Linked DNA regions of Schizosaccharomyces pombe. Changing the gene in region 1 together with any one later gene gives a genetic interaction. Each region holds a gene or a part of one and is shown on either strand. Other genes may lie near its edges. The genes, in order: exg3 and fus1.

Region 1 (3,929 bases):
CGTCTGCTGCCGCCAGTCTTAGGGGTTATAGTGTTTTTGCTCCAGGTGAATATACTTATAATTTTGATTTAGCTATACCCAATTGTTTTCCCGAATCGGTAGAAGCAAAAATGGGTTGGGTACGATATTTTCTGGAAGCTACAGTAGAAAGATTTGGCACATTTAAAAGTAATCTTAATGGCCGTACCCCTGTCCAACTCGTCCGCACACCATCTCCCGCTAGTCTTTCTTCCTCTGAGCTTATTAATATCTCACGTGATTGGGATGAACGTCTTCACTATGAATTACAGGTTTCTGGCAAGTCGTTTCGCTTAGGTGAGGTAGTTCCTATTACCTTTAGATTTTTACTACTCGACAAGGTTCGCTTATATAAGTTATCCATTTCTGTCGTTGAATCAAGTGAATACTGGTGCCGAAGCCGCAAATTTCATCGTGTTGATCCCAAACGTCGTGTGCTTCTTGCGGAACGCTCTGCCAAACATCAAAACACGGATAACCTGTTTGAAACGCCTGATGAAGGAGATGGTCTTTCTAGCGCTGTTTTCAACTTCAACGTTGCTTTACCTACGTGTTTGGTTAAGGAGCGTGATCGTCTTACCTTTGACACTACTTACAAGTATATCAAAGTTCGACACAGACTGAAGGCATTGTTAGTCTTGTCTATTGAAAACACGGAAAATCCGGAAAAGCGAAAATATTTTGAAATAAATATTGAGACTCCTGTTCGAATTTTGTCATGTCGTTGTGTGAAAGATTCGACACTGCTTCCGCCTTACGAATCATCAAGCCAAGGCGACAATCAAGTTTTGCTTCCGTGTCCATGTAGACTAGCTACGACTCATGTCGAGCCAACTGAAGTAACAGCTTTTACCACACAATCGGTTTTAGCTAGTTCGGCGCCTTCTGCTGGTAGACCAGCTGCAGCCCAAATTTCGCGACCAGCTCAGTTGTTCCGTATTCCGTCTACAAATCCACCTCCTTTTGATGGGGATGTTTGTCCCCCTGCTTGTAACACACCTCCTCCTAATTATGATGAGTTGTTTGACGTTTTGAGTTCAATCAGCATTCAGGATTGCGAAACTGATCGTGCTAACGATGACACTATCTTGAACAATCGTGTTCGACGGAGTGGTACCATTCGAGAAGAGGCTCCTCATCGGTCGTTGTCTCGAACTGTTAGTCGAAGCTTTGAAATCCCTAGGTAATCTAATGCTTGTTAACGGTTATTGTCAAGCGATTTCCCTTAACGGGGAGATTGATATTTTTGTATTTTCTGTTCGAAAGCGCTATAGCTTTTACAACTAGACGTGCGGGTTGGCCAGCCTTTGGTTTACAAAAATTTTTTAATGTTTCGGTATCATATTTTGTGGATTCCATTTATTTATTATCGGGTACCAACTTTACAGATATATCATCGCCTTGGGTTTTCACTAAAAAATTTCCAAGTTTTTATCATCAAAATAGCCCGCTAATATGGCATTTGTGATGAAATTACTTATGTTTTACTTATGTTTTATTTTTGATTTGCGCTTCATTTTGAATGAAATGGCTATATAGCTTTTGAGTTCTACTATTTCTCATACTACTCTTACCGGAGTGCATTTATAATAACTTAGCTAAGCAGCGTTTTTTGTTTACTTTTGTATAATTCTGATTATTGAAAATGTATAATAGCGCATAGTTAGTGTATTGCTGGTTATATGTATCCGTATGTAAGTGTTTAGCATGCACTTTTTGTAAGGGACTCGAAGGAACTTGTTTTGTTATATAGGCGGAAGCTGCAGATGACGTGGTTACCGAATTATTTACTACTGCTTCCACCTTCTTCTTACTTGCATAATTTTAGAACAGCGTATTACGATGGGATTGAATAAACAAGATTTATACATATACAGGAAGCAGTACGGTGTTAATCTTGGTGCTTGGTTTTGCGCCGAAAGATGGATTAATGATTTCTTGTTTACTGGTGAAGGTAGCAGTGAACTTGAAGCAGTAAGTGGTAATGTTAAGGCTCATGGAATAGACAAAGCTAGAGAGAATTTTGAGGCGCATTGGAAAAGTTGGATTGGTATTGAAGATTTTTCTTATATGAAACAGCACTTAGTTAATAGTGTACGAATACCTCTTGGATATTGGTCATTAGGAAATGATGAATTGGTTAAAGGAACGCCATTTGAGCCTTATGCTGAAGTATATCGTAATAGCCTACACATCTTGTGTGAGAAAATTCAAGAAGCAGGAAGCCTTTCGATCGGTGTGCTTTTAGACTTCCATGGGGTGTATGGAGGAGGAAATTGTGACGGACATTCCGGTACATCGTCTGGAAAGGCAGAATTTTATGAAAAGCAAGAATATCAAGACAGAACAGTGGAAGCCGTTAAATTTTTATCGTCGAAGATTGGTCAGTTTGAAAATGTTATTGGTATTCAAGTAATTAATGAACCGATCTGGGGCCAATATGATGTTCTTGCTAATTTCTATCAAAAAGCTCGCTCTGTTGTTCCTTCCTATCTTCCTGTCTATATTGGTGATGGATGGGATAAAGATCGTATGTCAATTCCATATAGTCATATCATTTTCAATGCTAACAGGATACAGATTGGGTGAATTGGGTGAATGATCATGAATCTGAAGGATTCTATGTGGTTGATCATCATAGCTATTTCTGTTTTGGCGGCGAATTATGCCATGCACCCCCAAAGCTTATAACCAGAAGACTTGATACTGGTGAAGAATACGGTAAAACCAAACTTTCCAATATAGTTATTGGCGAATGGAGTTGTACTTTAAGCCAAGAATCATGGAGCCAAACAAAGCTCCACGATAAAAGAAGACGTGACTTTGGTGAAGCTCAACTGAACCAGTATTTGAATTATTGCGGAGGATGCTTCTTTTGGACTTATAAATTCCTTCACGGAAAAGGTGGAGATTGGGATTTTAGATCTGTTGTAGAGGACAAGGTAATCAATTACCCTCCTCCTCCCCCTACCGAAAACAAAGCCATGCCGGCCTTACTTGAACAAAGTCGGGATCAAAACTTTGGTGGACATTGCTATTATTGGGATCAGAAACAACATGATCATCCATATGAACATGATTTATATGTTAAAGGATGGAATCAAGCCTGGGAGGACTACATTGAGTTTCTTCAGCATGGGGCCATGATCGGATTTCCTCGTGCATGGACTCAAAAAAGGATGACAAGTATTTCTTCTGCTTCTGCTTGGGAATATCGTGACGGTATGAATGCGGCCTGGTTGCATCTCGAGCGTATGGGCTTTCTCAATCCTTTTCGTCACCCATAATTCCATAATGTCTGTCTTAATGACCTTTATACTCTATGTTTATGCTTTTGTTTATCCGCACAAAAATTTAATGTGTTTGGTAACCCTCCTGCTAATCTCTATTCCCTTACCCACTTTTTGTCGTTAAATTTTGCTTGTTGTATTCACATCCTTGTTACATATGTTTAATTTTGGTAGATTAAAAATTCTGTTGATTTTCTTTTATAAAATTCTCTAAAAGATAATTAAAGGATTAATATTAACGACTTACTATTGAATTTTTTAATAGAGAAATGAAATAATAGAACGTTTAAATAAAGAATCCAAGCATTTTTCTTTGTTTACATCCTTTGTTTACAATACGCAATCTTAGCATAGTAAAACAAAGAAAGGATACGTAGTAGTGCGTACGTATTTTACCCACACTCGCTTTTTACCGCACTCTTGAACTATATATACATGTACTACCTCGAGCTGGAAGTAGTACAGTAAAATTCGTATATTGCTATTAATCCTTTTTTATCTTATTTAAACATCAAGGAGTAGTATTTATTGACGTTATCAAAGCAAAACTTTACTTTGACACTGTATTAATACACCAGGCATCTCTCTATTACATAGTGTCGGCTACAATTGACTTAAAAG
Region 2 (3,929 bases), on another chromosome or scaffold:
TTCTCGAGTTGTTTTAATACTCCTTCATCATTTATTTTTTTTAGAATGAGTAAAATGCTTTTGAAATTCCCTATTCTCAAGGATTCCTTGAACTGGAGTAAAGCAGTTTTAGATGGGATATTTTCAAGAAATGCATTTATAAGAAGCATTTGTGAAATGATATACTCAATAGTTATTTTATCATGTAAGGCCGCTTCTTCTAGTACTTTCTTTTCTTCAGTAACAACTTTCTCTAAGAGTGTTCTTTTCCATTGAGAAAGCCATAAATCAAAGACGTTCATAGACTCGACTTTCAAATTTGCAAAGTTTTTCATACATTTCATAATTGCGTTGATTCCGTTCGGCTTTTCTGAGTAACAAAGAAAAGTAAGTAATTCGGCAGCTAGTTTCCTTACTAGTAATTTAGTTGACAGGAGGCAGTGAACAACTGAATCGATAGGATACTTATTACTCAGATAGAAATCAGTCCCAATCTTCTGTCCTATAATACACCTCATGCTTTTGAGGATTGCAATTTCTAAAGTTATGTCAGGACTTTTTAGATGTTTCTTCTCATGAATTGCCTGCAATATTTTAGCAAGTACTATGTGTCCACCCATCAAAAGAAAATATCGAACCCAGGTAACTGATTCGGTTCTCAATGCAACCGCCAAAGATTCCACGTACTTGAGCTTCAACGGTGTACAGCTTAACTTTTCAATATAGGAAATGACGGATGCCTTGACATTTAGTTCAGAATCGTTTGATGATATTTTTAAAAATTTATCGTTTCTCGATAAATAGCCAGTGATGAAAGACCATTTGTTTTCTTGAGAGAGTGTAACGTTCGCGTCCCAATGAAACTGCTCACCAGAATCAGATTTTTCTTCGCGTAATCTTTTTAAAACATCATCGAATAATTCATTCACTAAATTCGGGTCATCCGGACATAGAAGCGCTTCGCCTGGTACATATGAATCGGTAAATCCAACAGGTCTTTTTGATAAATTGTTGCAATGAATATCCGGAATAGTGTTTTTTTTGTTTTCAATACTCACAAATAGTGAAGAGTAATCATTTGTAATACGAAGGTCTGTTTTCTTTACGCTTTGGTTTTTTAATCTGCTTCGCGATAATGCTTTTGCTTCGACTTTTTCATATGGGTCAGTGTGTAAATCAATGTTTGTTAGAGACCCAAACGATGAAATTTCTTTAACAATTGGTTTAGAGATTCTGATACCTTTAAAACTAGCCGTCATCATTAACAAGCAATAGCTAAAAAAGGTGAAACCATCAATAATATGTCCTATAATTACAGAAACAAGGTTTTTTGCTCGTAAACAATCCTTTTTGAGTTCAGATATAAGAAGTAAGGTAAAAGACTTACTAGAAAATTACTGAGTATTTAGAACATAACTTTCTTTGTTCGGTTTAACCGACGTAATATGATTCAAAGCAACAATTACATATGCAACGATCCATTTTATTGTACCCGTTAAAGAACAAAGAAATACTAACTGTGTTCGAAAACTATTTAGTTTTCCGATAAGTTCAAGCTCAAACACAAACGTAATTGGAAAGCGACAACTTGAAAGTAGTCCATATCAGAATTAACTGAATAATGCTGGAAATAAGTTTAGTGTCCATTCTAGTTTATATTTATTAATAAATGTTTTTTAAAAGACATTGAGAGGGTGGCGTACATACTGTGTCTTTAGAATAAGGCGCCTAATGAAGTGCTAGTTTACTATCACGCTAAAATTAAACAATCGCTTCTGCTGTTTAATTTATAGCTTGATTGATATTTGTTTTCCATAAATGAAAGACAGTTTGATTAAAAAGGATAAACATTTTGAGTACAAGATCAAGATCAAGAAAACTTAAAAAAATCAATCAGACTGTTGAACTGAAAACTAGCAACGAAAAAATGTACAAGATGAACTTTCAATTTAATATATTAAAATAAGAAAAATCTTTAATGCAGACTACTCTTTCGCACCTAAAAGCTCCAAAAACCATTCCAAGAGCATGGAAGATAACTCACTATAAACAAATCATAACAGTGGATAAACATAAAACGTAGGAAATATAAACATAAAATAACATAAACAACTAAATCTTGTCAAAAGCGAATTGTAAAAACAATTGAAGCAGTCCAAAGTAGTTCGTAACTAATACTAACAGTCGTAATTGGGGTTTAAAACTCGAAGTATGTTTAGTTCTGCTTTCAAATTGTTATTTCGTTTCTCAGCATCTTCCAATAAAGCTTGATATACATGAAGCTCATTGACTACCAAATCATGAAATAGATTGCTAGTCAAAAGTTGAGCAGCAGTTGGGCGCTTATTCGAAGAGCTGAGCATTGACCGGATTAAGCTAGCTTCCTCTGGCATGGAATCCAAGAAATCATGGGGGAAAATGCCCTTTTTTAAATTGGCGATAGCTGATGCCCTTTCCATGCGCGTGTTAAAAGGATACAGTAATTCAAAAAAGAGTATGCCCAATGCATATATGTCAGTAGACGAGTTGTTATTCATTACCGATCGCATGTGTTTTGAGAAAAGTTCAGGAGCTGCATACGTACTTGTACCGACAAAAGAAGATTCAGCTGAGGAGTTGGTCCCCTCTTCCAAATTATCTGACTGAGAAAGAACAAGACCGAAATCGCCTATCTTGGGCACAACACATAAAGTTCTTTGGTTCACTGGTTCGTACGCATTGCTAACCTCAACATTATCTTCATCAGAAAAATTAGGTAGACACACAGAGCAAGGCTCAGAATGTACACCACTAGATAGAAAAATATTTCGAGGTTTCAAATCACGATGGACTAAATGCATAGCATCGTGAAGATACAAAACGCCCTCTAAAATCCTTGCAAACAGTAAAATATAACAGTTACGTAGGCCTTTAGACATTACACCGTGAATATGCTTATTTCGTCTGTTTATGTGTTTCTCGAGTGTTTCTTCGCAAAGAGCCATTTGTATGTACAAACATAAGGGCTGTTGATCAAAGCTGGGAATATTGGAACATTCATCTTCCTCTCTTTCGGATAGAAATGAATCCATAAGTAACATTTCAGAAGCTGACTTCGTTGGCGCCAACTTTCCTAATGTGTCGACTTGTGATGTTGTTGAAGAACAATCATGTGACTCGGCATAATCCTGATCGGCCTCTTTCTTGAAAAGATCAGTCAAGTTGCAAGTCGAATTTTTGGTAGAGTAACAAGGAGTTAAATCATCTGCAACCGAGTCCTCTTGGAATAGTATCTGAACTGATGAAGGATAAGTATGCTGAAGTAACCCAGTATCCATATCAAACATAAAATTATCTATATCTGCTGATTGAGATAATGTCTCATCTGCCGAAGCTAAAGGTTCTTCTTCGATTTGCTTTTCAGATGACGGTAAGAGCTCGACCCAACTAGAAAAGAATCTTATCACATTGGGATGGTTTAATCTTGCCAAGGTCCTAGATTCACGGAATATGTTAGAAGAAGTGGAGAAAGAACGTAACCGAAGTGGAATTTTTTTTAAAGCATATTCAACTCCATCGAATTTATTTCGAGCTTTATACACTGAACCATAACCGCCTTTACCAAGTAACTCAAGTTCTTCAAAATCACTTGCATATCTTGACCTTTGGACTGTGGGAAAGCTATCAAAGTTGCTAAAAGACAAGTTACCGGTTCCATCTTTGTGCTCACAAAAATCAGCAAACGTGGAGGACTCCAAAGTGGTTTGTGGAAAGCAAGATTCCAATGCTTCAACTGGTAAATGATTTAACCTATTAGACAATACGTTTACTGAAGGCTTGACATTCATCACATCGTCTTCGTATCCACCATCACTCAATACGCTCAAGAAGGAAGCAGTTTTCGCCAAAACGCCATCAGGGCTGGAATACCTCGATTTCTTAGAATCCTTAGTAGAGCTCATGGGTAAGGT

What was found.
Region 2: of exg3 (region 1) and fus1, changing one enhances a phenotype caused by changing the other (phenotypic enhancement), as found in Schizosaccharomyces pombe (one study listed by BioGRID).

Annotation. Positions count from the first base shown.
Region 1 is NC_003423.3:2,972,968-2,976,896, forward strand, and holds exg3 (cell wall glucan 1,3-beta-glucosidase Exg3), read left to right. Parts: upstream 1-1,844; 5' UTR 1,845-1,860; coding exon 1,861-2,548; exon of another isoform or gene 2,549-2,598; coding exon 2,599-3,305; 3' UTR 3,306-3,637; downstream 3,638-3,929. Other genes in the region: aly2 (arrestin Aly1-like protein), read left to right, coding at 1-1,205.
Region 2 is NC_003424.3:4,816,103-4,820,031, forward strand, and holds the start of fus1 (formin Fus1), read right to left. Parts: upstream 1,685-3,929; 5' UTR 1,242-1,684; coding exon 1-1,241. Other genes in the region: eIF2 alpha kinase Hri1, read right to left, coding at 2,157-3,929. UniProt on the Schizosaccharomyces pombe protein: Required for cell fusion. It associates with the pre-zygotic projection tips in conjugating cells.